Linked DNA regions of Drosophila melanogaster. The protein of the gene in region 4 purifies or fractionates together with the protein of the main gene of each other region. This does not show direct contact. Each region holds a gene or a part of one and is shown on either strand. Other genes may lie near its edges. The genes, in order: Arpc1, RhoGAP19D, CLIP-190 and CG18748.

The links.
Region 1: the proteins of CG18748 (region 4) and Arpc1 purify together in Drosophila melanogaster (affinity purification with mass spectrometry, with the first as the bait; one large-scale study listed by BioGRID). This does not show direct contact.
Region 2: the proteins of CG18748 (region 4) and RhoGAP19D purify together in Drosophila melanogaster (affinity purification with mass spectrometry, with the first as the bait; one large-scale study listed by BioGRID). This does not show direct contact.
Region 3: the proteins of CG18748 (region 4) and CLIP-190 purify together in Drosophila melanogaster (affinity purification with mass spectrometry, with the first as the bait; one large-scale study listed by BioGRID). This does not show direct contact.

What each region holds. Positions count from the first base shown.
Region 1 is NT_033779.5:13,827,441-13,834,939, reverse strand, and holds Arpc1 (Actin-related protein 2/3 complex, subunit 1), read left to right. Parts: upstream 1-5,198; 5' UTR 5,199-5,230; exon of another isoform or gene 5,231-5,296; 5' UTR 5,297-5,521; coding exon 5,522-5,594; intron 5,595-5,663; coding exon 5,664-6,724; 3' UTR 6,725-6,999; downstream 7,000-7,499. Other genes in the region: mRpS23 (mitochondrial ribosomal protein S23), read left to right, coding at 1-1, 57-218, 280-643; Polr2C (RNA polymerase II subunit C), read right to left, coding at 689-1,516; GatC (Glutamyl-tRNA amidotransferase, subunit C), read left to right, coding at 1,869-2,315; PolG2 (DNA polymerase gamma subunit 2), read left to right, coding at 2,312-3,002, 3,057-3,451; Orc5 (origin recognition complex subunit 5), read right to left, coding at 3,468-3,752, 3,806-4,903; PolG1 (DNA polymerase gamma subunit 1), read left to right, coding at 7,249-7,499.
Region 2 is NC_004354.4:20,506,106-20,514,181, reverse strand, and holds the start of RhoGAP19D (Rho GTPase activating protein at 19D), read left to right. Parts: upstream 1-3,487; 5' UTR 3,488-3,663; intron 3,664-4,714; 5' UTR 4,715-4,816; intron 4,817-8,076. Other genes in the region: CG1812 (uncharacterized protein), read right to left, coding at 1-351, 431-1,280, 2,095-2,274.
Region 3 is NT_033779.5:17,381,987-17,389,937, forward strand, and holds the start of CLIP-190 (cytoplasmic linker protein 190), read left to right. Parts: upstream 1-3,028; 5' UTR 3,029-3,509; intron 3,510-3,574; 5' UTR 3,575-3,644; coding exon 3,645-3,909; intron 3,910-4,159; exon of another isoform or gene 4,160-4,343; coding exon of another isoform or gene 4,344-4,407; intron 4,408-7,354; exon of another isoform or gene 7,355-7,544; intron 7,545-7,951. Other genes in the region: Lrch (Leucine-rich-repeats and calponin homology domain protein), read right to left, coding at 1,484-1,796. UniProt on the Drosophila melanogaster protein: Together CLIP-190 and jar may coordinate the interaction between the actin and microtubule cytoskeleton. May link endocytic vesicles to microtubules. May play a role in formation of furrows during cellularization.
Region 4 is NT_033777.3:7,783,539-7,791,019, reverse strand, and holds CG18748 (uncharacterized protein), read left to right. Parts: upstream 1-3,096; 5' UTR 3,097-3,176; coding exon 3,177-3,291; intron 3,292-3,352; coding exon 3,353-3,502; intron 3,503-3,567; coding exon 3,568-3,776; intron 3,777-3,836; coding exon 3,837-4,419; intron 4,420-4,478; coding exon 4,479-4,651; 3' UTR 4,652-4,850; downstream 4,851-7,481. Other genes in the region: CG10086 (uncharacterized protein), read right to left, coding at 179-293; CG18746 (uncharacterized protein), read left to right, coding at 913-1,024, 1,140-1,289, 1,353-1,561, 1,712-2,306, 2,398-2,648; CG18745 (uncharacterized protein), read left to right, coding at 5,067-5,181, 5,703-5,846, 5,904-6,115, 6,183-6,756, 6,822-7,078.

The DNA.
Region 1 (7,499 bases), on a different chromosome or scaffold from region 4:
GGTATTTACCCTCCTACGAAATATCTGTGCAAGCTTTAAACACCCGACTCTTGCAGAGTTCAGGGCCTCCTACGCGGTGGAGCTATGAAAACCGAGGATAAACCCATTTGGTACGATGTGTACGCCGCCTTTCCGCCGAAACTGGAGCCCCGATTCGACAGACCCGCGCCTGAGATTCCAGTGCGCCAGATATTTTATGCCGAGGATGTTGTCCGAGCGTATGTTTTTCACCTGCAGTCGGGCTTATACCAATACTGAACTAATCTTGTACACCAACAGAAAGCTGCATAAAGAAAACAAACCCCAGGAAACGATATCCCTGTTTGACCACAGGCGCAGCACGCAGTCACAGCAATTTGTCCAAATATACCAGGACCTGAAAGGACAAGGAGCCCTGGATGAGCAAAGGATCTACGAGACCGCACTGGATCTTTTGGCGGAGCAGCGCCAGCAGGCCCGCCTGGAGACTACCCCAGAGGAATGCCTGCCAGAGCAGGATTCGGAATCCAAGTCCCAGCTGCTGAGCGACTTCAAGGAGGCTGTGGTGAGCCAGCAAATCACGTCGTCACCAGCACCACCTGCTCCCAAGGGAAAAAAGGAAGCGAACGTGGGCATTAACATAGACAGCTTGTTCAAGGATTAGGCGGAACATCTTTTATAAACTTAAAATAAACTTGTTATATGTAAATCAAACGGCCAATGCATCGTTTTGGGACTCGTGGCTGAGTTGCGTCTGCAGGTTTGACAGCTTGTTCTTCAGCACCTGCACACCCATGACCACAATGTTCTCAGGCTTAAGGGCACCGGCGGATTCGACGTTGAAGAAGAACTTGTTTGGCTTGGCTTCCCAGTTGTAGGGCGCCTCGTACTGGTCGTCCTCCAGTTCGGTGTGCTCGCTCTTTGGCCACTCATCAGGTTTGGGATACAGAGTGTGTCGCATGGAGTTGTCCGGATCATACTCGAAGCACACGCCTGCGGTAGGATTCCACTTGGCGTGCTCCTTGCCAAATCCCTTCTTGGCGTAGGCGCGCAGCTTCAGCTCCTGCCCCTTGCGCAGCTTAATTATGAGGATCTCATCGTTGCTCTCGCCGTACTCGTTGTCCTCCTCACCCTGGTTGCGGGACGTCACCGGCAGGACCTTGGCATTGCTCGACTTGAGATCGGCGGTGGTCACGTGGCGCGTCTGTTCCTCGCTGCACTTTACGTCCAGGGTGAACTCCACGCTGCATTCGGGGCAGAAGTCCAGGCAGATACAGTCACGCGTGTACTGCAGCCGCTCCACGACGTCGTCGGAGATCAGCGGTATCAGACCGATCCGGTGGGCTAAAAACTCATCCGAGAGCACCGTAGAGTTGGCTTCCAGTTGCACCCAGTCGATGGCCAGCGTCGGCGTCTCCGCGATGAACACTCGCCGCAGGCTGTTGGCCACACTCAGTTCCGTGTCCTCCAGGACGAACTTTACGTTGTCGTCCGTCAGCTCGGTTATCTGCACGGACGGCTGGTTGGCGTACGGCATTGCGGTTTTGTTTTGATGAAATTAAAGGGTCACGAAAAAAATAACCCGCTCAGTGAAAAGGAAGCGATGGAAGTGCAGCAATAACAGCCGGCGATAAGTGTGCCGTTATCGATTGTTGTTCTCGTTTCGGATTTATAGCTAGATTTTTAACAATAAGGGCTGGATATATTAAATTGAACAAATGTGATGGAGACATGTTTAATTAAACTAGATCACAATAACAAGAAAATTGCTTTAAATTAAGATAGAATAAACACATAAATCAACATTTTTGCAAGGACAATACTTTTCAGATAACATTTAGCTGATTGTTCCGAAACTCAGTTCCACCTCTGATTTTGTGCTGGTGAGAATGTTGCGTCTGTTCAGCAGCCGTTTTTACTGCAAAATTGCAACAAAATCGAATGAAAAGGCCACTAAATTGGACTTCAAGCAGCTAACGCATCCCACCAAGGTGCCACAGACACCAGTGGACTCGAAGTTTCCCGACACCAGCGCCTCCGAAATCCAGATCGACACGAAAACCATCCAGTTGCTGGAGCGGCTGTCGCTGGTGGATCTGGATAGCGAACGAGCGCTGGCCACGCTAAAGAGCAGCATACAGTTCGCGGACAAGATTGCCCATATCAACACGGAGCACGTGCGTCCACTGTACACGGTCCTGGAGCATCAGCAGCTCCAGTTACGCAACGACCAGGTGACCGAAGGCGATTGCCGGGCGGAGGTGCTCCGGAACGCCAAGGTGACGGACGAGGACTACTTCGTTTCGCCGCCGGGCAACATTCCGCTGGAGCAATGAGTCGCATACAACGATGCTTTAAGTCCCTGGCTTCCGCTGGCTTCTTTCGCACCGTGGAAGACAATAAACTGGAGCTACTGAGTCATGGAAGGGAATACGCCAAACTGTTGCAACAGCATTGGACACGACTACGTCCCTTGGCTGCGCACCTGGGCGCCACGAAAGAACCCATAAATCCAGTCAACATCCAGCGTTTTTCCTTTCCACAAAGCCAGCAATTCCGTAACAATTTCCAAAAACTCGTCAAAGATCATCCTCGAAAGGCCAAATGTCCCACTCTTCTGAAACATCAAAGCACTTGTTCTGGTCCCACTAGCAATTCCCTATTTGGGATAAAGGGTCCTACGCTACATTTAACCACGGACTTCCTAGTGGAACCACATCGCGCACTGGAGCACTTCTACAACATGCAGCGTGAGAGCAAGATCTGGTGGATGCGTCTTTCCTCGAATCCCAGTCGCTACCGCATCGTACCTTGCGATTTGGCTGAGGATCTCAATCCCAACGACTATCAAGCCATCGATATCCGCACGAGCTACGGTGATGCAGGAGAAGTGACCGTGGAGCAACTGAGCCTGGTGAGAATAGTGGACGACAAAGACTTCCGGCTGCCCGATGCGCGAACGGGTGAAATTGTGCAACCGACTGTCATAAGGTCTGTGATAGAGCTGGAAACTACCACCTGCGGTAAGTGGTCATCATAACTATCTTTGAAAATCTTTCTATATTATTATCCTTTAGCTCTGCTTCTGGATGGCTGTGATCATGGCCGGGACTCGCAATCCCTGCTCTTACACCGCGTTCTGGCGCCATATCAATGTGGAATTGCCTGTGTGGAAAGTGATTCCGAGCTATCTGCTGACTTGTCTGATCTTTGTCAGCATCTGAAACATGTTCTCAACCACGCCGGTCTTAGACTTTCTGAAGGGGATGGAATTCGTACGACGAAGAACGCTTCTCATTTAGCAGAGCACTTGCTGGAAACGGATATGCTCGGCATACCTTATACACTTGTTATAAACGAGCAAACGCTAAGAAACGGACTGATGCAGTTGCGCAGCCGGGACACAAGGCTGGCGGAGACCATACACATAAGCGATGTACCGGACTATTTATTAAATATATTTAAAAACTAAAAAAAACAACCAGGGGCTACATAAAGTCGCAGAGATATTGGCGGACATTAAAGCCCACCACCTTGCCAATCTGCAGGACAAACTCCAAGCCAATGGTGCACTGCAGCCTAGCGGAACCTTCCATTATGTTTTGTTCGCCGGAGACGAAGCTTAGTAGATTGAGGTGCACCAAAGTTGAGATCTGGGAGAGAAGGTTGCAGGTCAGACCGACTTTCTCCTCTAGAATGGCGTAGAAAATGGCCAGCAAACGATCGATGCTAAAGGATTTGGGTCCCAAAGTGGTGGACATTTTCTCCGTGGTCTAAAAGGTATTAAAATAAGCAAATGGAGTCATCGAAAAATTGAATAACCCACCTTGGCTCTGGCGTTGACCGTCTGCATCCGCTTTCGCTGTTTTCCATGGTGCTTGACGAACAATCGCTTGTCCTGCTTGGCGGCATTGTGGCTGGCTAAGAAGGCAGCGATCAACAGAAATTTGGCATAGTAGGGCAGCTCCAGCGACTGCGCCAGCTTGCGAACGCTCTGATCTTCTATGGCGGTGAAATCTTCAACTTCTTCCGCGGGTTTTTCAATTCGCATATAAATCTGGGTTAAGGCGGAACGCAGTGGTCCAGCTATATGCCGCCAAAGCCGGGAGATGTCCGTGGCATCCACAGTGCCGTCGAGTACAGGCTCCAAGTATGTGGACAGACACTTCCTGGCGGTCAGCTGGAGCTCTGGAACATCGCGACAGGCTTTGTAAAAGACGCTCAGAAAGAGATTCAGATAGTTGTTGTAGAAGTCTTCAGTTACGGCTTCCTGGCAAATCTCCAGACGCTTCTTATCCTGGGCGAACTGTTCCAGCAGTTGATTTCGCACCTGCTGAAAGTCAGATCCCAGGATGCGCTGTGTCTCCGCCTTGTTGTACTGCGCCAAGTGCAGGCAGACGATTTCACTAAGTCCGGTCTTGTTGTAGAACTTCTCAAAGGGCAGCTGGGAGAGCAGAATAACGCACAGATTCAGGTTGGTCAGCTCCTGCAGTCGGAGAAGAACGGGCAACACATTGGCATCCATGTCGCGCAGCCTTTCCGCGTTATCCACGGCTATGAGAAATCCCTGATCCTCCACGCGTGTAGCGGCCTGCCGACGCAGCTGCTCCACAAAGTCCAGCATGTTGTCGACCTTCAGCGCATCACCTTGATCGGGTGCCAGCGAGTCTAACAGGATCTCCAGCATTATCTTGGTGGTGTAGCATTCGATGGCATTTAAATGCGCTGTGCGGACATTTTGCCGTTTTCCACATTCTTTGAGGAAAGCTCTGGTCAGAGCTGTTTTGCCGGTTCCACTGTGTCCGAATAGGTAAATTGCCGAGGGATATGTCTCACTCGAATCTCCTATCAGCTCGCCCAGCGTTTCAATGGCCGCCTCCCGACAGGGAAACAGCGGCTCCAAGGAGGAGCAGATGGCTTCCATAGCTGTCGTCTGCTTTTAAGTTTCCTCAGCTACCCACAGGCGAAGTGGTGTTATTTAAACGGGCTTTCAAAAGGGAAAATACTTCCTCGGTTTATAAAATAACAAAAATAAATTACGAGCCAGCCAGTTATTAAAAATTTGTTTACAAGAAATGGTTTCTGTTTAGTGTGACCATTGAAATGGCGCCAAATTATTCCCTCTGGTATATACCGAACGTGCGTAACAGCACTGGTACCTTAGCATTTTTCAAACAATCGAAAAATATCGATATAACGAAATAACGATAGTATTGAGGGCCATCGATTTTTGTTCCAGCTCTAATTTCGGGTGATTAATTTTGTGCATTACTTTTCCAAAGAGTTTTTTCCACAACGCTCTACTCTTCCGGCCCAGGCAAAGCCAGAATCCATCCCAGCAACGCCAGCTTAATCGTGTTGACGGCCCAGAGTCCGCGATTAAAACGAGAGCGAAGCTAAAATCCAGCGGAAACAACGCCCAATTGCTACACAGCGATATCCAAAATCCGAAAATCCGGCGAACCGAACCGAAGAAACTACGCGTGTGGTTGGATTTGGACGAGCGAACACTGCACATTCCGAGCGCATTTAGCCACCCACGATGGCCGAGACATACACCTTTGGCACCTCGCTGGCCTCCATCACCTGCCACGCATGGAACAAGGATCGAACCCGTAAGTGCGACCCAAATTACTCATCCGGCACAGTGTGACTCACCACCACCCACTCCCAAAAATTCGCAGAGATTGCCTTATCGCCCAACAACCATGAGATCCACATATACAGCCGGGAGGGCAGCGACTGGAAGCTGGCGGACGTGCTCAACCAGCACGATCTGCGCGTCATGGGCATCGACTGGGCCAAGAACACCAATCGGATTGTGAGCTGTGCCGCCGACCGTAATGCCTATGTGTGGACGCAGGGCGACGATGGCAAGTGGAAGCCGGCGTTGGTGCTGCTGCGCATCAATCGGGCGGCAACCTGCGTCAAGTGGTCGCCGGCGGAGAACAAGTTCGCTGTGGGTTCGGGCGCCCGACTCATATCCGTGTGCTATTTCGAGTCGGAGAACGACTGGTGGGTGTCGAAGCACATCAAGAAGCCGATCCGCTCTACGGTCACTTCGCTGGACTGGCATCCGAACAACGTTCTGCTGCTGGCCGGCTCCACGGACTACAAGGTGCGCGTTTTCTCGGCCTTCATCAAGGACATCGAGGAGCCACCGACGCCGACGCCGTGGGGCAATCGCAAGCCCCTTGGCCAGCTAATGGCCGAGTTCCGCAACTCGCAGACCTCGGGTGGCGGCTGGATTAACAGCGTGAGCTTCTCCAGCGACGGTAACAAGGTCTGCTGGGTGGGCCACGACAGCTGCGTGAGCATCGCGGACGCTACCAATGGCAATACGGTCATTCGATGCCGCACCGGCTATCTGCCCTTCCTGTCATGCGAATGGGTCTCGCCCACGTCCGTCGTGGTGGCCGGCTATAGCTGTGTGCCACTGCTCTACAGTCTGACTGCCGATGGAAAGCTGGTGCTGAGCGGCAAGCTCGATAAGTCGCAGAAGAAGGAGTCGAGCGGCATTACCGCCATGAGAATCTTTCAGTCGATGGACCGCAACATGCGCACGGAGAACACGGACACGGTGGTCGATTCCATACATCAGAACGCCATCACCAGCGTGCGACTGTATGCCGGCGACAAGGCGAGCGCCACCAAGGTGTCCACCTCGGGCGTCGACGGGCAGCTGGTCATTTGGAATGTGGAGCAGGGCGGCATCAATGGCGGCATGCGCAACCTGCAGATCTAGTGCGGCCCGGAACGGACCAGCGTTACGTGTTATTGTCTGTTAGCGAGTGTGTTGGCCTGGCCAGGAGCGAAGTATTTGCCAAAATGTTTTCCAAAATCGCTTTTCCCATTGTTCTGTACCGTGCGAAAGCCTTTTTACATAAATTAACCGAAGAGATTGTTCTTTCCCCCCCCCCCCCCCCACCAACTTCCATAATGGTTCCGAAAGTGTGTGTGTGTTTTAAAGTGTTTCACCTTTATAGCAAACTGAATAAAATGTTTTTTATTCGTAAAATCAAATGTTAAGTGTTTGTTTTTTAATAATTAATCGTTTCAAGCAGCAAGAAATTTGATTTGTTGGAATTTTTTGAAAATGTTTTATATTTATTTATTATTAATTTAACGGAAATAAATTTGAATTAAATCAATGTGACCGCCGCGCAAGCGCACAAAAATACCTAGGCTGGCGGCAATCTTACGGAGGAGTGTGTGGTCGCAGGTTGGACTTCAGTTGCCTTAAAGGATGTTTCCTTTATTAAAACGAGGATGCAGTTCCACCTGATCAGAAAGTACGCCAGCAAAGTTAGCCGGGAGCACTACGCCAGCAGTAGCGTGAAGATCTTTCGGCGGGTCAAGCCTCCGCAAAAGGTAAACAAACCAAAGAAGCCGGAGAATGTGGAGAATGGCCCAACGGAATATGCGGAAAATCTGGTCAAGGTGCAGATGATCTCGCGGAATTTGCACGCCCAACTGTTCCCACAAGCGCCGCGAAGCATTTCGGAGCAGCAGGTGGCCTC
Region 2 (8,076 bases), on a different chromosome or scaffold from region 4:
AAAGCTTATCGCCCACAACGACGCCGGCATGCTGACTGCGATTCTCCTGCAGACTAGGCATATAGGTCCATACATTCTTGGCGATATCGTAGCGCTCCACGTTGGAGATCATGCGCAGGGCTTCTTCGTTATCATCGTCCAGAATGCCGCCCACCGCATACAGATGCTGAGTGCCCACTGCGTTCAACGAGAAACGGCAGCGATCCTGCTGAATGGGTGCTATGGTCATCCATGTATTCCTTAGCGGACAGTAGCAGAAGCCAAAGGGATGGATGTACTCCTTCAAAAAGACATCGTACGCTCCGCCCACGATGAACAGTTTGTTGTTCAGTACGGCCGTGCCAAAGTTGCCTGGAATGCAATGGAACATGTATATTGTCTGTACAATGATATAATACGAATGTATCCTAATTCGAATCCGAACACTTACACTGATCGATGTGCGGAATGGCGGTCAACTCATACCAATTCATTTTCTTTGGCGAAAAGCACATTATTACATTGGTCAGGCCGTTCCACTCGAAGCCCCCGATCTTCAGCAGACACAGCTCCATGCCCCGCATGTTTGTTGGTCCCTGTGGCAGTGACTGATCCTTCAGGGACACCACTCCGTTGAGTAGGTGCCCCATGTGCTCCTGTTTTATTCGGTTGTAGTAGCTGGTAGGCAGTGGCAGCTGTTTTCCCTTATCCAGCGAGCAGTTCATGTTCCTCAGTTCGTCCACGGACTTATAGCTAATGTGTTGCCATTTGATCAGCCTCAGCAGATCCCCCAAAGCGCTCTCATTCAGCTGTTGTTCGATCGCAAAGCTGCATACCAGACGCACCAGATCCTGCTCGGCCACGTCAATGGGATAGTTGCTGCTGAGGATGAAGCGCAGCTGGTCCACCTTCATTTCTTTAAAGTCCGATGTGGTCGCGAACTCCTCAAAGTGAGCGCACATATAGCGGTAGGCCCGTTCGGATAAGTCCATAATTCCATAGATATCGGCCATTCCCGCAATGGCCAGGCAGTTTTCCATCTCGATCTTTGCGCCCAGAAAGATCGTGCATCGGTCAATCACCTCGCGCACCTGGACGTGCGTGGCTGCCGCCAGGATCTCCTCGATGTTATCGTAGTTCAGTTCCAGCATCGATGTGTATATGTAGTCAATGATCGAGCCCATGGCCCTGGCTTTAATACCGTAGAGATTTATCTCGTCCTTACGCGACTCAATCATGGCACAGTCGGCGAACATGGCGCAAAAGTAGTCACTGCTGGCTGCCAGGACGACGCGGTGAGCCTGCAAAGTTGGGATTACGTATTTCGTTCGATTACTTGGGGAAAAATGTTACTATAAGTGTAATAAGTGTAACGAAAAACGCTGATATTCCCCATGTTATTTTTGAAAACATTTGAAATCAGATTTCTGAAAATCTGTATCATAAAACATTTCTATGAATTTTCTGGATTTATGTATGTATCTGAATATATGAGTCTGATTCCGGGAATCCCTAAATATTCATAGGTAGCGCGATGAAAATGCGTCATCGGCCGAAACACATCAATTTGTGTCGCGAATTTGTTTTCGTATTTGTATTATTAGCAAGAGAAAGTAAAGATGAGCTTTTTTGCTGGCCACGATTATCGATTCGCCTACCACTTGCCACTCTAACCCTATAACTAGTCACCTTATGCTTTCGTGGTTTCCGATATATAATTAACACGAGCTCGCAAAATGGCCAAATGGCCAACTGGCCAACTAGCCAAACTGCCAAACCGCCGAGTTTAGGATGCGAGCAATCCGGTTTAGTGCGATTTCTATTTGTCCTATGCGCAGGCCATTGAAGGTATTGTCGTAACTAACCTAGCCTAATCACAACCAAGTTGCTCTGAAAGATAATCTATGCATACTTGCTATGCGCACTCTGGGAGCCAAACTTGTGCAACCCAACTTCATCCGCCTTCGCCGATGTGCCGTGTCCATGAGGCTAGACGTAACCGCTCGTAGCTCAGCTGATCCCACAGATGTGGCACGATCTCTGAAGCAGATCCACAGATGGGGCTGTTCCATGTAGCTATTGCTCGGATCTATAATGGTGTGGGTGGGGTCCTACCTTGAATCGGTGCTCCTCGACGATCAGAGTGACGTCCGTGAGTTTCTCCTCGTTGCGCAGCTTGTTGAGGCCCCGCAGAAGGGTCTCCTCCTCGGGGGACACGGGATTCACAGGAATTTTGGCCGCAGCCGACGTTGCTGTCGCTGCCGGCGTCACTGCTGGCGCTGGCGTCGCTGCCATGCTGTTCGCTGTACTCTCTCGGAACGGACCAAAGATTAGAGCGGGCTATTAACCTATATATATGTTAACCTATGTGGTCCCAAGGTTGGGGAATCCGTCTGATAAGAAATTCTTGAGATGACCGAGCTTCTGGTGCGCGAGTGCGAGTGCGAGCGAGAGGGCAGCACGTTCTGTTTACACTCGCGGCCAGCTGTCTACAAACCGTTATTTGGCGAACTATGAACCGTTCTACGACAAATATACGCACGAAATTAGCTAAATTATTGCTAAACACTGGCAGAGAAAAAAGTTTCGCGTGCGATTTCTTTGCTTGTTGCTACCTCTTTGCTTCTTTTCCCTCTTGCGACTTTTTACTTTTCGCGTTTTTGACGTTTCTTCTCTTGACGTTTGAACTGCCAAGTCGGCTAGCACCGCTAGTGATGCGCATTTAGCTATCGATTGCGGAGCGCGATCGTTTAAAATTATATTTTCAAATTTCATATATATACCCGTATTCCTGGGTGCTTTTAATTGGGAGACGGGTGAGTATGCAATTTAAAAGGTTTTTATAAGAGAATGCTAGCTTTTGAAGTCAAAAGCTCGCGAATTTCCCCTTTAACATTGATATGGTAGCATTTAAAAATGAAATTGTTAAATTTGCACCAAAATAAGTCTATGTTAGTTACTTAGTTTAGCTTAGTAAGATAGCTTACGTTAACTTTAGGCAGAAATATTAATACTAAAAGAATAATTAATTAATTTCTTTAAAAAAGTCAATCTTATCAGAGACATTGAAGTATTTCACGTTAGGCAGTTGTTTCTTGTTAGAAAATGTTTTTCGGATCCGCAAATAATTTTGATACGAGAAAAGATATCTAATTAAGTATTATATATTATATAAATATATATTTAAATTAATACACTATGATATTAGTGTGGGTGAGTTCAAATACACTCTTAAAAATACGCGTTCCATTCTTGGACCAACATTTATTCAGCGTGCTGTATCTATTCACTGCAAATATTTCAGAATAAAGTGCAGGCTAGCAGGTAAAAAAATTGTATTTAATTTTTTTTCTCACAATATCTATAGTCTCCAGTGTTAACTAATGGCCAAAGTTTCGTCCAGTGGTGATATCGCAGCATAAGCCGATAAGCTGCTGCAAAGTATCGACATACGTCCAGGCATGAAAACATCGATAGCCTGCGTGGCATCGGCCGTATTCCACCTCTACTCGACTGGTCTGGTCACTCGAAAATCACATCGGACGAAATCGAGTGGAAAGCGGAGCAAGTAAAACAAGAAGTAGAGTAAAATACACAACTAATTAATTGTAATTTGGCCGAAAGTGCAGACGGTGCGCGCGCGATCGCTTGATTGTATTGTGAATCATTAGTAATTAAAGCAGCGTAAGTGCTGGCGCAACCACAACAACAAACGTGTGGCGTCAAATTTTTTTTTTGTGAAAAGAAAAAGGCGAAAAGTGTAATAAAAAAGTAAAAAGCAAGCGATGAATGTGTGCAAGGCGTTCCAAAAAATACAAGGATCGATGCAAGGCGAAGAAAAACACACAACGAATTCGGCAAACATTTTGGTTGTTCGCTAGTTAAAGTAATTAGTTTATTGCTCGCCGCCGCCGACGACGCCAAAAACAACAACCACAACAACAGAAGCAACGAAAGAAAGCAACAGTCAAATGGCGAAGAAGAAGCAGAAGCTGAAGCGGCAACAACAATTGGAGTGCAAAATGCAACGTGCATGAAATAAAGATTTTTACTCTGTATTTGTGGTTTTTTTGCACAGGCCCAAATGAAAATTGTCGCGCTGTTTCTTTTTCTTCCTTTCTCTTTCCCGCACTCTGCAACCTTAAAGAAGAAGCAAAAAAGCGGAGCAATTACGAAAGGAAGGAAAAGAAATGAAAAAGAAATGAAGTCGTGTAGGTGTGTGTGAGTGTGTTTTTGTGTGCGGTATGTGCGTGTGTGCGCGCCACATGAGGAAACTGCCAGCAGCGACGCCAACTGCGGCGTCGGCAGCATGTAGAACCCAAAAAATAAAGCAAAACAAAAAAGTCCACAAGAAAAAACATAAAAACACAGTTACGGTTACGATAATAGTATCAATAGCATCGCGTTTACTGACAATTAAAATTTGTTAAAAATAACAAACATTTTAGTATCTTTAAAGTAAAATAATCAATCTTATGTCACGAAAGTAAAAGAGTGCACTCCTTTCTACTTTTCTTGAGTTATCGGTAGTTAACGGTAGAATGCCCTTTGAAGTGCTATTATTTTGACCGTTACTGCTGATTTTTTGGCTGCCACTGACTCACATTTCATTGATAAGAAGAAGAAGGAAAAGAAAAGAGAGGAAAGAATGGGAAAGAATTGAGGAATGTCCTTAAATAAACAAACAATAAATCGCCTTATCAGCTCCACACCGTTTTTGTTGTGTTTTTTCTAGTTTGCAAAATTAAAACGAAATCATAAATATACAAAAAGGAAGCAACAAAAAAGTTTAAAAGAAAATCGTCAGAAAGGGAGAAGAAAATCTTCCTGGTTTTTGGTAAGTATCATAGGCTTTTTGTTTATTTTATAAAAATGTTGTGTAAATCTAAACAGTATAACAATTGAAGAATCGGCACTTTTCGGCCCATTTTGTGCACTCTCTTTATTGCTCTCTTGCTCTGTTCCCATCTTTCACGTCTTCCATTTTCCGTTGTATGCCAGCAGCGAAAGTTGTCTTCCTGCTTTTTAGGTTTTTTTTTTGTTTACGTACCACCAGACTCCCTTCTCTCTTCTACTGGACCTCTTTCTCTCATTTCCTCTCTGCGGAGAATTCTTCTGCAGAATTCACAGAGACAACGCAAGAAATTAGGCGAATAAAAAAATGTGTTCATTCTTAAAACTTCTGAATTATTTTTTATTTTTTGATAAATAAGTGCAATAAATTTTCATTTACAAGAATTGTAGCCCTTAACAGTCAAACGATTGCGTTTGAAGGGATTTAACCTTTTTCGAACTTTAAAACCCCTGTCACATTGAAGAATATTAAAGAATATTAAAAAAAGTAATCAACAGGAATAAATTACTTAATTTCTGAAATTATTCCCAAATTACCGCAGTATTTGCTGGCTATAACGATATTGCCATATAGCGCCCACTTAAAAATTGCAGGATAATTTTCGTGAAACCTCCGTAATTTGCAATCAATACTCAGCTGGTTTAAAATTTCCCATTTCGCAGTGGAATTATCGGGCACTTTCGGCCAACTTTTTACCCATTTCCTCTACTGTTTTACTATTTTGCCACTTAACTTCGTTGACATTGCCCCTAACTTGAGGACAATGGGCAAATAAAGACATGAACAATCGGAGCACACGCACCTCTGCTGCAAATGGTAAAAGTCAATAGATAATTATGTATAATGAGCAAAGAATTACGTTGCCCAATTGGCAATTATTGCAACAATAGTTAAATCCATTACGTGTTTCTGCCCCCTGCGAATGCCGGCCAATAATAACGGGCATTTCCAGCCCGAGCTCGAACTCGGACCGAATCACGAATTGTAAGAAAACTCAACTTTATGCGCCGGACTTTGGTTACTGTTACTGTTATTGCCTCTCCATGGGCTAATGTTATTTTGTATTTTGTTTTCCAATTTTTTTTTTGTGTCTTGGTCAACACGCAAGAAGCAAAAGTAAAAAAAAAAAAACCAAAGGGGCGAGTAAAAAAAAAACAGCAACAAACTAAAATTACATAAAACCTTGAAGTTACACGCGCAGAAACAAATGCTCTATGAACTTTGCTCACTTATTTGCTAAAAAATAGGGTTCCAATGGGGTTCTTTAAAATCTCGAGCTCGAAACTGAAAGGAAATCGAGTTCGGACGTGTTTAATTATTATTAAAAAAAAAAAAAACTAAGCATAGAACTTCAAAAAATATATGCGATTCATTTAAATAACTATATTGAGACTTGGCAATCGTAATCTAAACCTTTCTCGCCATCTCACCTCCTCTTATTTGTAATGCGAAGTAAAGTGGCCCAGCCCTTTCTCTCAGTGTAGGGACGTGGCTGGGGGCCTGGGAACCGCTGTCTTCACCTTCTGCCTCAACTCTAAGCCTATTGGCAGCGGCCCGAGCACGAGCCGCCTTAACCCAAAGTGGGGGAAACGAACTCGGTTCGCAGCCAAGCCGCTTGATTAACCTTCTTTTTTATTACAATATTTTTGTTGACTCTTTTCGTGTGCTCATTGCTGTTGCTGCTGCTTTTGTTTTTGTTTTGGTCGTGGTTTCAAGGCGGCCACGTTCGGGATGGGAAATTAAATGCACTGCAATTACTGCACCCAAAAAAAGCCGCGCAATATACATAAATACATGCATATGTATGTGTATGTGTATATGTGTGTATGTATGTACAAAGAGAATGGAAGTCAGGGGCAGATAGGATCTGGGTGGCCAACGCGAGGGGATTAGAGTTCAAGGGAAGAGCGTTGTCGAGGGAGGCTTCACATTACCTGTACAGTGGTCACCCGGAACATCAGATTGTGAGGCTCTGCAAAATAGCATATGCGTAAAAAGCAATCAATTTACATCTCTCGTCTTTTTCACTTTTATGTCATGCAATTCGAGTTTTGCAACACCCCATGAGCCATGCACTTCGATTTAACATATTTATTTAGCCATTTTTTTCGTTTTATTTATTTTTTTTTTTGCAATCTATTAGTCACTTGTTGTTGCTGGTGGTCGTCGGTTAATTAAGCTCAAACATTTGTCAACGACTGGCCATTGTTCGTTTTGTTGCTTTGTTTGGCTTTGTTGCAAGTCGCGTGAAAATTACAACGTTATACAATTTAAGTACTAGAATTAAAAGACTTGTTGTTGTTGCCGTGGTTGCTGTCGCATGACGAGAAAGCGGCGGCGAAAACACAGAGATGACATAACTAATGTCACACAGATGAGATCAGAATAATGCTCTCCATTTAAGTTGCTTGATAGAGGCAATGAGTATTACAAGTAACTCTCTCTCCCCCTCCCCCCCACTCCCCTACATAATTGGCGATCGATGCGAAAGTCCCACTCCCACACCCAATAGCCAAAATCAGTGCCGATTATGCAAATGCTACGCTATCACTGCACTTATTTTATTTTTCGTTTTGCCCTACTCCAGATTTGTTGTTGCTCGAAAAAAGAATGCCAAGGTCGTCGCTTATTATTATTCACTGTCTTCGGGCTTCGAGCTCTTGTTCTTCTCGCTTTGCGATAACAGAAGATGTTAGTATGTATGTACATATGTACATAGGTTTCTAATGAAATGGCAAAACTGCTGAACGTGAAAATGAAACTGCGGCGGAGAAATAACAAGTGCGACGGAAAGCAATCGAATTTGGTTGAGTAAACGAGTTACCGCCCAGTGCCGCCCCCTTTTTCCTCCAAAACCGGAAATGGGGGCCAACAAGAACAACTCGCCGCCGAGCGTTACACAAAATATTTAACATATTTTATCGCTTGCCGATGCAGGCACTTGGCTGGCATTCTATAAGAACATTTGCTTGGGGGCCACAAGATATTAGCTGACCAAAGTATTGACATTAGCAAATCATATTGAAGTAGATTTGTATGGGTTGTTATTTACATCAAATCAAAGCACTTGGAACCCTATACCTCTGGGGCTACATGAGCGATCGTCCCAATCATCTCCCTTTGCAGAGTAAAAAAAAAAAAAAAAAAAATTGTGTCAAAACGAACTGGTACATCGCTCTGAATTAGTATTTATTTTAATATTCATATTGATATTGATATTGACGGACAAATGGGAAGTGCAA
Region 3 (7,951 bases), on a different chromosome or scaffold from region 4:
TTACGTACTCTTTTCAATATCGAAGTGCATTGTTCAATTCAGTTTCATTAATTAGTCAATTTATGTTTGCTTTATAAAAATGTAATTTTAATTGAATTAATGGTAGACAAACTGAGAATTTTGTTTATTTTTGTTGCTCTTCAATTCCGGTATTATCCATCATCCAAGGCACTGGCTAAGTGGAATTTTTATTGAATTCTTTCCCTATTCTTTTACCAAATTAGTTTTCAATTTATGACACAATTTATTTTTATCTCTCTTCCACGGCAATTAATCTTCGCAGTCCAAAAATAAAAAGTTTCCTTCTATTCCAGACATTTCCACCGAAAATACATCAAAATACAGTGCGTCCTCTGAAAGGTGACATTCCACGTTCATAATAAGTCTTAAAATTAATAATAACATCTCATAGTTGGAATTTACTTTGTGTAAGTAATTAAAAGAAATAAACTAAAATAATTTTGTAGTTTATAATCTGTCTCGTTTCAATGAACATAATCTTCGATCTGTGAAGTATTGTTAGATGGAAAATTGCCATATCTCGCTTTTTCAGCGATTAGAATGACAACTAACCTTATCTACGTATCCTTTCGCCTTTCAGAGCGTTTACTGTATGTGTATACAACAAACACAAGTGAAAATCGATGAGAGACATGTCCCGTTGTGAGAACATCTGTTCGAGGGTAGCAGCAGCTGTGAGAGGGGGCGGGGTCCTGCGAGAGGGCGGTGAATTTTCTGGGTGGGTATTTCCCATTTACTATTTCTCCGCTGGTGCATATTTTTTGGTCCTAACAAAAACGAAAGTTGGTTGAACTTCGACAAAATTTTCGTGCCGGCTGCGGCGAAAATAAAAATAAATAAGGATAACACGAATAGTGCAAAGTGGCGAAGAGCGAATAACGGCGGTAATTATTGTCCTTGAGCGCAGTCCGAAAAGGGAGAGAATGGGAGAGCCGCAGAGAGAAAGAGCAGCTGATGGGAGGACAGAAAAGGAGGAAAAGGATGAACCTCCGACGGCTGCTGCAAATTATTGATTTTCAAGCAACAAAAGGAAAATTCGCCACTGCAATGGAGATGGAAAAACTTCGTTAGCTCACCGGCAACAAACCTCCTTTGCTTAAATGCCGCACCCTAAAGGTATACACATACGCCAAACATTTTCGATAAGCAACTAATTTAATTGCTTTATCAGTACTTGTACATATGTAAACTCTACTTTTACTTTTTCTGACGTCAAAAGAAAACTTTATAACTAACAATTTTCTAATCAACTTTAATACCATTTAACTTTGTAATATAAAAATGTATGCTTTTTCCAATAAAATGTTATTAACTTCGTACATTAAGTATTATTAAGAACAGTTTAAACTTTACTTAGGAAGTAATGAAAACCCAATTTTTTCCGGAGCTACGAAACCGGCTTGAAGAACACCTTTTCTTTGTTCTCCCTTACGAATATACACTATACAATAGCGGTACGCACCTGCGATGACAGTGTCGGTAAGTGAGTACTTCGTTCCAGTCCTGGGAAAGTCCTTCAGCTTGCGATTGGTCAGGATCAGTTCGCCGCTGAAGTGCGCTTCTTCCAGGATTCTTTCCAGGGAGCGCGTCAGCTGGGAATGACTAAGCAGGGCAGACGAGGTGGAGGAGGAGGTGTTTCCAGCGTGGCCTATTCCAGATCCCGATCCTGTTCCAGATCCTGGAAGGGAAGCCGACCCGCTGCCGATGGCGCTGCCAGCGGCGCTGCCGACGCCGACTGCGACGCTATGTAGGCGTTGGTAAACCGTTGCTGCCATTTCCCGTGTAGGCGTGGCGACACTTCCACACACTTGCACACACACACGCACGCGCTAAACTATCACACCGATAAGGAAACGGAGTGAAGTGCCGAAAGAAACCGAAACTGGAAACTAAATTTGCTCTATTGAAACGCACGCATCTCGATTATTTTTCATTTAGTGTACGTCTTCTTGGCTCATTGATAAGATTTCTCGGAATTGGATTTTCCTTTTGCGGCTTCCTTCTTGCTTCCTCTTCTTTGCCTCCTCGCACACACGCGCACTCACACACGCACAAGCTCACGCAGCAGACGAGCGACAGTGCACAACGAAAATCGAAAAACAACTGAATCGGTTTATGGGATGCTACTTGGGCAGCGCTGGAAACGTTGCTGTTAGTTTAAAATCGGCGTGCCTTTGAGTACTATCGATAAAATACCACAGTGCGCCGATGATACACTGGCTCCATTTTTATCGCAATTCGAAATGTCAACAATCTTACATTTTATAATGTAATGTAATGTTTGTTTATTCAGAATGATCTACCGTTTAGCATTTGCCCCTTCAAATTTAGGGCATTATTAGATTACTGAGTCGTTATTACACCGAAACATTTCATATAACTACTTAAAGAAAAAATGAACAAATGACCAGGTAACCTGGTATTGGAACCCGGCAATAAACTGGTTGAATATTAAAAAACCATGTTAGACTAAATTATAAATTCGTTAATTTGTCAGTTGTGTGGGCTCAGATCACAAATCTGAATAAGCTCAGCGACGCTTCCATTATTGGTGACATAATTTCATATTTTACATATTTATATTCACGAATAAATATTCGCCAATTTCCTACAGGGTGTTTTTGTATGACCGCATTACTCTAAAAATACCTCGGGAAAATATAGCCGCAACTATCGATTGGCGCGCTGCACTGGAGCTGTGCTACCATCGCTAACTCAGTGCAACAACAAAATTCCAACGCAACGCCAACTAAGTGCAAAAAAAATCTAAAATTTGTGTAAAATTGTAAAATCCCAATCGCGTATATTTCTAAATCGTATTCGCACAGCACAGTATGTAAAGCACTCCAGTTTATTTAAGTACTGTGTGTGTGTGCGGTAAACACACACCAATAAGAGTGCGTTTTCGCGTCCCTTTTCCCACCCTCTTCTAATGGTTCCCTCTTCTATAACTGTGTCAAATCAGCAGCAACAATAAAATATAGAACAGAGCTACAGCGTGCGTGTGTGTGTGTGTGAAATGCACAAATTGATAAGCAATTTGATTCAATTTAATCTTGTTTAAGTCTGATGAATATCAGCGCAAGCAGCCCAACACAAAATTATAAATAAAAAGTTACGAATTTATATAAATAGAATACCCTTGAGTGATTTTGTTAGTCGCATAAAATTAATTCAATACATATTTGTGTTCCGCATTTTTTGAAAATATAACGAAGTTCTGGCCAACGAGAGCAACAACAAAAAGCGGTCTTGTTTGTTTTTCAAGCTCAACGAAAAAAAGAAGAAAAGAAATCTGCTCTCAGTCAGCTGTTTTAAAGCAGCCGCCTAAGTGCGAGTGAGATAGCTGCCTGCGCGCCAAAATAAAGCAACAACAAAAGTGGAACAGTGGTTCAAAACCTAGCTAAAAATAAAAAAAATCCATTTATTTTTGTAGCAAAAATATAAAATAAAAGCAAATTAAGCGAATTATACATATATTTGTTAAGGTAAGTGATCAGCATTCCATTTATTTTACCAAAAATTATTCTTTTGCACTTGTTTTTCCCCCAAGTTTTTTAAATCGTTTACTTTTAATACGCGTGTGTCCTAATAAGTGAAGATTATTAAGAATAAAGTAAAAAATGAGTGATGATACGAGCGCTTCGGGCGGGACAAGTGCCCCTTTTCCATCGCCAGTTACTGCGGACCCGGAACCAGGAGCCACTGCCTCCAAATTACCGGGTCCCATCAGATCCAATATTCCCACGCCCGCTACTTCTGGTACCGGAATCCCGCAGCCCAGCAAAATGAAGGCACCATCTAGTTTTGGATCGACGGGTTCTGTTTCCAAAATCGGAAGACCGTGCTGCAATCACACAACTCCCAAATCCGGTCCACCACCAAGAGGTAAGTCTAATCGCATTGTGCAACAACGCAAACCAGTTAGTATTATTGCTCAAAGCAAATATGTTACTAAGAGCAGTATTTTTGAAAGTAGTTAAAGGTCTTAATTATCCCCTGGGTTTAATTATCATCCATTTTACAAGCTAGAATTTAAAGCAAGATGAAATTAAAACACATCTGAACACCAATGGGAATTCAACCAGAGCCCCTTTGAAAATCTTGTCAGTGCATTGTCACATACATATTAACATCTTAACAAAGAACATTAATTTCACAATTCAAGAAAAGGGGTTTTTACCGATTTCCACTTTTATACGCGAGTTCTTCACTTATAAAACAGTTGGAAGAAGTCTGATAATTGAATTGCTCTCCGGAAAATATCGCAGTAAAATATGTTTCAATAGTATAGCCCACCACTATACTATCACCAAGTACTCATGAAGGTTAATATTAAAAAATGTACCCACATTCAAATGGGAAAACAGAAACCCAAAAAGAATGGTGAGTTTAAATAATGCACTTTTAAGTTTGACATTGTAAAGGGGTCATTTCATCAAGTTTACTTACTCTCTACCCTCAATACCCGAGATTTGACTACTTTTGTGTTTGCATCTTTGGCTCAAGCAAGTCAAGCATCCGCCTACATATATATATGTGCACCCACAAGATGTAGATTGCTGTATACTATAAGCGAATGCAATGATCTAATGGAAACGATGACAGACCCACTCACTTGCTAAATATATACATACATATACGCTGACCCCACCCCATTTGAGTGCACTTTTTGCACTACATTGAACTTGCAATTATTTCGGCGAGAACTCGCGTAGTTAGTGTAAATTCTTCTCTAAAGAGAAACCATTAATAATTCCCAGCGTCAACTGTTTCGTTTGGTAAACAAATGCTTCACTTCTTTCAATTATTTAATCGTTTTGAAACACCAACGCACAATTCAAAAATAAACAAAACAAATTGCCGCCCACTCTTAACTCTCGATCATAATTATAGAGCTGCCCCGAAAAGTGTTTTTGGTAAGGAGAATTATGGCCAATTAGGCAAGTGCTGCTACCATTTAATTGATCCGCCCAATGTGGCTCATTTCAGGCACGTAACCGCACCGCAGTCGTCAACATACGACGACCCACTGGCCCATATAGCAAACGATCTGCCAAACGATCCATGGATCGATTGACGGGTTTTCTATTTCGCCGGCACACACGTTCCATATCCGATTGACAGTCGCAATGCAACCGCAAAATCGTAGAAATTTATTCCCTGTAAATTTACCCAAAAACACAAAAATTTGTAATGTTTAGGGTTACAGAAAAAACTGAGTCACGAGGTGTATTTAATTTGCATCCATAGAAATAGTTTACACGGCGCTATGTGCACTGTGATCATTTAGATTATCACTTTGTATTAGATTGGTTTTGTAACTAGTTTGTTTGCCCATTTATACATTATTTTTAAAATCGTTTATTGGTCGTTTATTGCACATAATTATTAAACCTATTTCAGAAATTAAGCTGTTTGCTTGGCTCAATGAAAGTCCAGTTTGTTTTGATAGCTCCGAATTTTTTGCTTTAGTACATTTAAATTTCTACGCTGATTTGTTTCAAATACGCCAGTGTTGATCGCCATATCAAAGAGATTATTCCGCATTTTGCCAATTATTAACGAAAACGAAGTGATATACCGCATGTCCCAAATAGTTGAACTACTTTAGTCAATTAGTAGTTTATGCGACGCGCTGCTTAAAACCAAATCCGTTCCAAGCGCCTGAGCGCCTTGATCCGCTGCCCAGATCAGCTTTCTAAAATCTCTCCTAGCATTCTGGAACGGACTGTTTGACTATCTGCCAAGAGACCCGTCATTTGGCCCGCCATACTCAATGCCAAAAGTCTGCGAAAATCTACTCAGCTCAAATGCGACCGAGAAAACCTGGCGACCGGCCGGCAATCTATCTCTACGTCGTCGTTCCCTAATTGAATTTGTTCTGGCGATGACACAGAAAACGTACTCAAAACGTATCTTCTAGCTTGTTCGTGAGCTCAGATCTTTTGAGGTGTTTTTGCGCTGCGCATTTGATGCCGGGTTCCGTTCTCAGTCGATCTGATATGAAAATTGCGGTCGTGGTGCTCGTGGATGAGCTTATGTCACTTTTATTGGTTTCGATCGGAAACAAAAGTGAAGTGAGCCTCTCTCCCACCCATAAAAACGGAAAGCTCATTTGTCTTCGCATTAAGATTGAATCGAAAACGCGTTCGGGATTGACGTCCAATGGATGAGCATCGTCTGGCGGGGGATTACTCCATTCGATTCTAGATTGAGCCCAGTTCTGTTTACATCACCGACTCCGTGGGAGAGTCAATATTGATGTTATGATTAACCACTTTTTGTCTCACTTATTTGACTTCACATCATTAAGTCGTTGAAATCTTTATAATTGAAGACACGTGTTGCATATTTAAGCTGAAAACGTCTCGGGTTTCAGCCAACAGAAAACAGTATCTTCTCTTAAAAGGAATATATATACATATTCGATTTGATAAGTTATGTATTTGTTATAGTTTAGAAAATTTTATTAAATACGTGTTTCAATATTTCAATGCGCTTTTTTGTGCATTGTCTTAAAAGCTGATTCATAGATGAATCTAAAGATAATTGATTCTGATTAACTGGCATTTAGTCTCTGGAATTCATTGTTACAATCTCGTCAAGCAATTCTTAAATTGTTTTCCTACGTGTAAACTTTATATATAATTAGACACAACCCGGCGTTTAAAAACTTTATCGAATCTTTCAATAGCCACTTCAAACATCTTTAAAGAAAAAATAATAATTTTCCAAAACTTACATACTTTTTTATAATAAATTTCACTGCTTATAAATATTTATATTTTATGAAATATATAAGGTCACATAAGATTTCTTCCAAGTCGAAATCCAAAACATATTTGCCTATTAATTATTGAATACAACAAGAACATATTTTTTAGAGTTTTCAAAGCCAATATGGATTGTTAAAAAAACCCAAAAAGTGAAATTCCATTTTTTCGAACTCTTGCTTAGTTATTTTCATGCATTTACTGCACTTGTGATTAGAGTGCTAAAAACCATTGAGCGATCGATCCATATGGTATCGAAGAAAGGGAAAATAAAATTGCAGCCATGTGGCAATTCTTTGTTTGCCGGATTAACTCACTTTGCGTGTCCGTGCAAAAGTCGAAAATAAAAACATTTTTTTACGGCTCTTATTTTTACGCGACGTTTATTCAATAAAAACACCGAGAGTGCGGAGCTATTGCCACAGTGTCTGCTATTAAACTCTGGCCAACAAAGCTTCGGCACCGGATTGGCAATCGGCTTCGCCGCTCTCTCGCTGCGAAAAAAAAGTATCTCAAAGTTTGCGCTGACTTCGCTTCGCGATTGGCTCTCGACGTTCAGTTACTTGAACGACTTTTCGCGAGGCGGACGTGTTTCAGACGCGGAATTGCAACTCAGATGGCAACCAATTGAACTTGATCGGCTCTATACTATAGCTTATATAGTGAACACGCAAACGAAATTGAAAATCCAAAATAGAAGCCAACTTTAACAGAGAGACTTACTTATTGTTATACAACTCACAAAAGGTGATTTGGTGTGCCAGCAAATTACGAATGTCGTTATTTAAATTGGAAATTTCCAATTAAAATATAAGGCTTTTAAAAAAGAACTGTAAAGGCATAAGTTATGTGAACCTTTTTCTACGTCCTTGTCGATGCCCTAAAAGGATTCGAGTTTACTGCAGTGCAAGATATTTTTGGAAACTTTTCGTTTTTCATATTTCTGGCGACAGCCTTTGACCTTGGCTTGGTCTGGTTGATAACCAATTGTTAATCAAATTTATTCTTTTGTTCCTATGTGAAACTTTGCTTTGGTTGTGGCCTCATAAATATTTATTTAATTTCGTGTCTTAGACAAACCTAGAAATTTTCCAATTTTTTTGTTTAATGTGGTTTTATTGAGTTTAAAGATAAGATACAGCGTTAATTGATAT
Region 4 (7,481 bases):
ATCGCACATTTGGAGTGTCCGCATAGTTATCACTTAATTACCCATTTCAATGGTTTGTTGAATCTTTTGCTTTTGCCAAACCTGACATTATCCGAAGCGATAAGATACGCCGCGCTCGATAAGCGAAAGCCCCCACTAGTTTCCGTACTGTTGGGGTATCCTAGTTGGTCTTACTTACCTCGCAGTTTCTTGGTCTTGTTCAGATTGACAATCACCTTGCCGGTTATCACCTGGCCGGTGAAGTAGGTGCCGTGCTCATTCTGGTCGAACGTTATCATGCAGTTCTTCGACATGTTGGCGAATAGGTAATGGGCTTATGCCTCTCCAGAGCTTTTAGATTTGCGAGCGATCCTAACGCGCCCGCTGCTAAACACGAACTGGGCCAACTGTATTGCTAACATGGCCTGGACTCTCATTTTCAGTTTTACCGTCGGCTGGCATTATCTTATCGGCTCAACTCAGTACAAAACCCACTGCAATATTTGTCTATCTGGATAGTTGGCAACGCGGCCAGTTGAGAGAAATTCCTTCATTAATTTATTAACAACTTATGCGATAAATCAGGGACTCCATTATCCTCTATTTCTTTATTGGTACAACGCCCTATCATCGCTATCTCAACCTTGGGAAAACTGGCCCTCATCGATCAGTTCTGCCTGCCAATTTCGTACTTCTCAAATTGCTGTCACTTACATATGTAAATACTCCGATAGCAATGGTAAAAATTTGTGTTTAAATACTGAGATACCTATCGCATTGATAAGATAAAATAAAAATGTTGGCCAAATAAATGCTGCACAAAAAATAAAATAAAAATAGCCGCAGCGGGTGACTTCAGTTTGTTGGGAGCCACGACACAGACAGGGCAAAAGTTAAACAGCTCCCGGATTATCATACAAATTATTCCGCACAATGGTAATCTGTGAGATTGAGTTCTGCAATAATTCCCAAGGAATTTTTTATGCAGGCCAGTTGATTTCAGGACAGGTGGTCATTAAAACTGAGAAGGAAAAGTCAGTGAAAGGTAAGGCGCTGATTCATTTTGCTCTACTCAAAACAAACGTTACTTGCTAAAAGACTTAATTGATTTGAAGTGCAAGTGTTGCAGGGGCTTAAAATAGCTTTTATTTTTACTTCAGCTGTAATCCTTAACATCAAGGGATATGCCGAAACCCACTGGGCGGATACCGAACACGATCCGGATGATCAGTCGAATGGTGAATCATTCAACGGACATGTGGACTACTTGGCCACTAGGGCTTATCTGCACGGGTCTAGTTCCAGCATAGGTATGTTCGAAGATGATAAATCACCATAAATCTAGAGATAATGAAATCAAAGCTCCATTTCAGAGGTGCTTATTGAGCCTGGCACCAGCTCGTATAGATTCGCCTGTCAGTTGCCCATCACATGTCCCTCTTCTTTCGAGGGGACACTAGGTCGGATACGTTATCTGGTGAACGTGAGGTTCGTGCGTCCGTGGAAGTTCGATCTGAACTTTAATCGATGCTTCACTGTGATCAAAGTGATGGACCTGAACTCCGAAAGCCTAATGCTGAGGGTATGTTTCTTAGTCTCTCCACACACTATGGAATAGTCCACTGTACCATGTGTTGTACCAAAGACATTAGAATAATGTCTAATTCTAGTGTCTTTGGTTGTACCATGGTCAAGTATAAAATTTTATATTTTTATATTTTATAAATTTTAGGTACCTAGTCAAGTGGAGTCCCAGCGAACTTTCTGCTGTTTTCCCTGCCGCTCGTCGCCACTCAGTATGCGACTTTCTGTTCCACAGAGTGGCTTTGTGCCAGGACAGATCGTGCCGGTGGAGGTGATGGTCTCCAATGACAGTGGTGTAGCCGTGGAGGACATAACCGTAAAACTGACTATGGTGGTGATTTACTACAGTCAACCCCCGTCCGCGGACACCAACAAGGACCGTTTTGAGATGGTCCTGAAAACAGGCGGAGGTGTGTCGACCAAATGCCGGCAGCAGTTTACCTTCGATCTTAAGGTGCCGCCAACTCCGCCAACCTGCTTTAATCTATGCAGCATCATTCAGATCGGCTATCAGGTGGAAGCGGAGGCCAGAGTTAAAGGTTGTCATGGCGGCCAGTCCCTTCACATGCCCATAACTATTGGAAGTGTCCCGCTAACGAAGCAACTCCAAAAAGAACCAAGGACTTGGGGTGAAGTTCTGCCACCCCAGCAGCTAGATGCGAAGGCTTTGATTTTAATTGGCAGCGAACAGAATGGAGAAGCACTCGGAAGCCCCAATCCTTGGGCTGCGGATCCTTCAATTGGTGAGTAAAATAGGAGCTTTAAGGAAATTCATACAAAACTCCATATTCGAATTTAAAGATCATAATTCAAGGAATCACTTATTTATTTTAGCACCGCCGAGTTATGCTGAGGCTAAACACATCTCCCCGGATCCGCACAAGTTCTCGAAATCGAAGAAAAAGTCTCAGAAAAGAGGTGTAAAAGGATCACAAGAGAGGAAAGCTGAAACAATTGTGTTTTCACCCTTATACGCAGTCTTTGATTTGTCAAACCAAGTGGACGAAATGACTTTGAGAGCAAATGAACCCAAGACTGATGGCGGCTATGTCAATGAAGGTGTAGAAAAAAGCACTTGGCTTTAGAAGGGCTTAAAAATGAATGTACCCACTCTGTAAATAATTAATAAGTAATCGAAATACAACAGACATGACAATTACCCTGTGGTTGAACGCAAACTGCGGGAACTTTTCGTCGACCTCAGTGAGCAATATTTGCTGAGTTGTGCGATATCTTATCGATGAGTTAATATATTTATTTGAGTGAAATTGCTATCTTCAGATGCGAGAGCCTCAACTCATTTGGGGGCACTTGTTTTTACACCACAAATATAAGTATCAGCTGTTTTTGGACCTGATAATTCAGTTCTCATGTTAGCTGGTTACGAATGATCTATTTATTGTATAAAAAAATTGTAGGGGGTTTTTGGGTTTACCAATAAATAGATTTATGGGTGTACTGATAAGATAAATTACCAAAAGCTCTCCGTTGCACAAAATAAGTGGTAAGAAACTTTTTAGTTCAGTTTGATTGCGGCAATTGAAGGGAAAACATCTTAACAATTAACGACAGACTTAAATTCATTAAAACTTGTGCTTTAACCATAAAAAACCATGGGAATAATTTGCCAAATTCTTTTTCACAACAACACGCAAGGGGTTTTTTACGCGGGCCAAATGGTTGCTGGTCAAGTGACTCTGAGCACTGATAAGGCGATTCAAATCAAAGGTAAGTACTCAGTTGTGATTGCGATACTTCATATAATTCTCGCAACATTTTACATATTAAGCAATTCGACTTAAGCTAAAAGGTTATGCAGAGACCCATTGGACCGAAAGCAAGACTGATTCGAATAACAAGTCCACTTCAGAGTCGTACAATGGATTTGAGAAATACCTTTCCAGTAAAGTTTATCTTTTGGGTTCCGAAATTAGCCCTGGTAAAATATTGAGTGATAATTTGTTATTGAAATTGGTCAAAATTTCATTTTATGTATTCGCAAAGAAATGGCTTTGGAGCCGGGAACTAGGTCCTACAATTTTGCTTGTCCAATTCCAATCAATTGTCCCTCATCGTTCGAGGGGACTCATGGTCGTATACGTTATATGGTGGATGTCAATATCATTCAGCCGTGGAAGTACGACAGCATTTTCTCAAGAGCTTTCACCGTTATTCAAGTGATGGACATAAACACCTATAACTCTGTTTCACAGGTAAATATAACATGAAACGAAATTTTGGAGGTCTGCTATAACAATGTAATCGCTTTTAAGGTTCCCGTGCAGGCCAAGACTGAGAAAACCTTTGGGGTCTGGCCCTTCCGATCGGATCCTCTAACGCTGGAGCTGAATTTGCCGCAGACTGGCTTTGTGCCTGGTCAGACGGTACCCGCAAATGTTCTGATTGGTAACGAAAGCAAAATTCGGGTGCACGAAGTGAAGGTTGGACTATCAATGATGATCACCTACTACAGTGATCTAAGTTCAGGTTCCAAGTGCGAGCGCAAGTCCGTGGCCAAGTTAAAGGCAGATGGAGTTTTGAGGAACTCCCGGAAAATGTACGACTTCCAACTGATGATACCCTCTACTCCGCCTTCATGTTTCCATCTGTGCCGCATTATCAAGATCGGATACCAGATCGAGGTTGTGGCCAAGGTGAAGGGCATGCATATCAATGGAACTCTGATAATGCCGGTGACTATTTGTGGTGTTCCGATATCGCCGTCAGCGGTGCAATATACGCCGCAGAGCTCTGGGCCAGAGGCTCCAGAACAAAGAGCTTTGACTTTGATTGAGGGAGAGGGAGCTTTTGCTCCAGCTGCTCCCCCATATCCCTGGTCAGAAGGATCCACACTATGTAAGCTGTCCTTGTTTTAATATGTCCATATCAATTATGTAACCATACGATTTTTATAGCGCCACCGAACTACGCCGAGGCCATGCATTCCCATAGTGACTCTGAGAAACAGTCAGAGTCGGGAAATGCGCAAGAGAAGTCTTACAAGCCGTTGTATCCTGTCTTCGATTTGTCTACTTCAACTGTAGAAAAGAGCAAGGAAGCGGCTTTGGATAAAGAGGAAAAGAAATGAAGGCGGGCGAAAAAACTATTCTACATTTGAGAACCATTGGACATCCCATCCCACGCCTGCTTGTCAAGAAGTCCTTGGGATTTTTCCGGAGATATGAGGGCTATTTGCTGCTCGACTGCATTTGGCAAAATGTATAATTCAAAATTGTGACAGCGATAAGATAAAGTTTTTCTGGCCATCGCTACCAATATAGAACAACCGCAATGTTTGTTTTATTCTCAGTTGATTTCTGGCAGCCAAGTGGGCATGTGGGTGCTATCGTCGCGAAAAGCGGTTCCTTCCACTCTGTCTGGAGTTCTCGGAATTTAGGGAGTAAATAACTGAACATTGGCATTAAAATCAAATCAGTCGTGTTTGCAGCGGCATCAGAGTAGGATCGGCCCATAAATACACGATTGCGGTTACAATTACAATTATGACTGTTACCTGTGAAATTGATTTCGATAACAATCCCCATGGCACCTACTTTGGGGGCGAGGTACTCACTGGCAGAGTTACGTTGAAGCTGGACAAGATGAAGTTGGTAAAAGGTGAGGGGCAGTTGATTTGAGATACCTTTGGAATTTGACAATATGCCATGAGTCATTCTTATCTTATCGTCCAACTTAAAAGTGCGGTTGAATGTTTTTAAACGAAGATTTAGTCCGGTGACTCATATATTTATAGTGAGTAGAGAACCACACGTGCGAAATCTAATGTCTACATGAAGGTGTTTGGCGAACATACACAAATGCATCAATGATAATATTTGCGTTCGATAAGATTAAATTATTTTTAAATAATCAATGGGTTTCGCATTAATTAATATTAAATAGGGGTGGATACATATTTGACTTTTTCATATATACAACGATTGCTTTTGTAAGTTTTTATGGATATTTCATGTGAATGCATAACAGTAATTCTGTATGATTAAAAGATTTTAATTTGTCAAAACCATAATCATCGTTTAGATGACTTAAAAAACAATTAAAGAATAAATTCAATTCGTTACAGTACATTGAGCTAAAATACCTTTCTAAGAAATACCTTATCAACTTCTTCTCCGCAGCCATCACCTTGAATATAACCGGATACGCAGAGACGCGTTGGATTGAAAGGGTGACCACAAACAGAAGGAGGAGACGTCGCACATTCTGCGGCCGCGAGGATTACATAGCGTCCAAAACATTTTTGGTGGGATCCAATCTGAGCAGTACGTAAAGCTCCATTTAGGCAAGAAAGTCCATCTAATTGCTAATCATATCTGCAGGCCAAGTATCCATTGAAGCGGGAATTCACACTTACAACTTCGTGTGCCTGATTCCCACCGAATGTCCTTCGTCCTTCGAGGGATCACACGGCAGGGTGCGGTACATGGCAACCGTAACCCTCGTCAGGCCCTGGAAATTCGATCAGAGCTATACCCGATGCTTTACGGTGCTAAAAGTGATGGACTTGAACTTCGATAGTCCACTGCTAAGGGTACGAATCAAAATCAAACACGAATACATATCTGTTAGAACCTAAGCTAATTGAATATGTTATGTAGGTACCCGCCCACAGTGAAACCTCGAAGACCTACTGCTGCTGGCCTTGCCGATCAGATCCGTTGGCCCTCCAACTGACCGTTCCACAGACAGGATTTGTACCTGGCCAGAATGTTCCCCTTAGCGTGCTGGTCACAAACGATAGCCACATTCCGGTGGAGCAGCTCCTCATTAGTTTTGTGATGCTGGTGACATACCACAGTAAGCCACCTTCGATGCCCAATACCACGTCCGAGAGGTTGGTGGTAAACACCTTCAAGGGGGACGCTGTGCAAAGGAACTGCAAGAAGCTATTTAGCTATGAGATCAGAGTCCCGGCCACTCCGCCCACCTGCTTCAACCTGTGCGGCATCATCCAGATCGCCTACCAAGTGGAGGTGGAGGCCAGGGTGAAGGGTTGCCACAACAACGAGGTTGTCACCATTCCGCTGACCATTGGCAGTGTCCCTCTTGCACAACACGTACCAATCCAGCCTCGGGGTTTCGTCCCCCAGCTGAATGTTAATGAGCTGGCTGTTGAAGAAGTAGCCACTGCTCCAAACTCTTCAAGTCCATGGTCTGTCGACGCATCCATTCGTGAGTTTACTAGAATCCATAAACTAATTACAGTATCAATTTATGTTTTTTGTTGGTGTTTTTAGCTCCGCCCAACTATCAGGAGGCTGTTCACATGCGCAGCACGGCTGCAACGAGGTCAGACGACTTAGACGACCCGGAACCAGTACCGCCCAATACTCTCAGTTTGGATGGCGGTGCTTATAAGCCACTCTATCCGGTCTTCGACATACCCAGTCCCTCAGCTCCGCCGCCGACGGATTATACGCAGAATTATATGGCAGAGAGGGCCTTTGTCAATCCGGCCATGGATGTGGACAAAGACAAGGGAACGTGGCTATGAGAACGAAAATAAATACTATACTAGAAATGTAAGGGCGATAAAGCATTTGCACACAAGGCAAAAGTTCCACCTAACACTTTATAATAAACATTTTATCACAATTCCAAGACTGGTACAGGGTGGAGCGATTTTTGAAATTATTCGAAATTATATATATATTACCATATGTAGTCTAAGATTTTCAAACACGACGCTTTTCTTTCCTCTTGAAAACCCCTCGATGAATGCTGGCAATAACTTCCCCAGTGCCAAGGTCTCGACAACCAACTCTGATAACAGACCGAAAACCCCAAGTGAACGTCCGAGTAGTTCGCAAGGGAACTTATTATCGACTCTTATACAGTTTGGACTACGATTCCGTATCGTTCCCGGTGAAATCCGAATCCGACATCGGGTCCAAGTT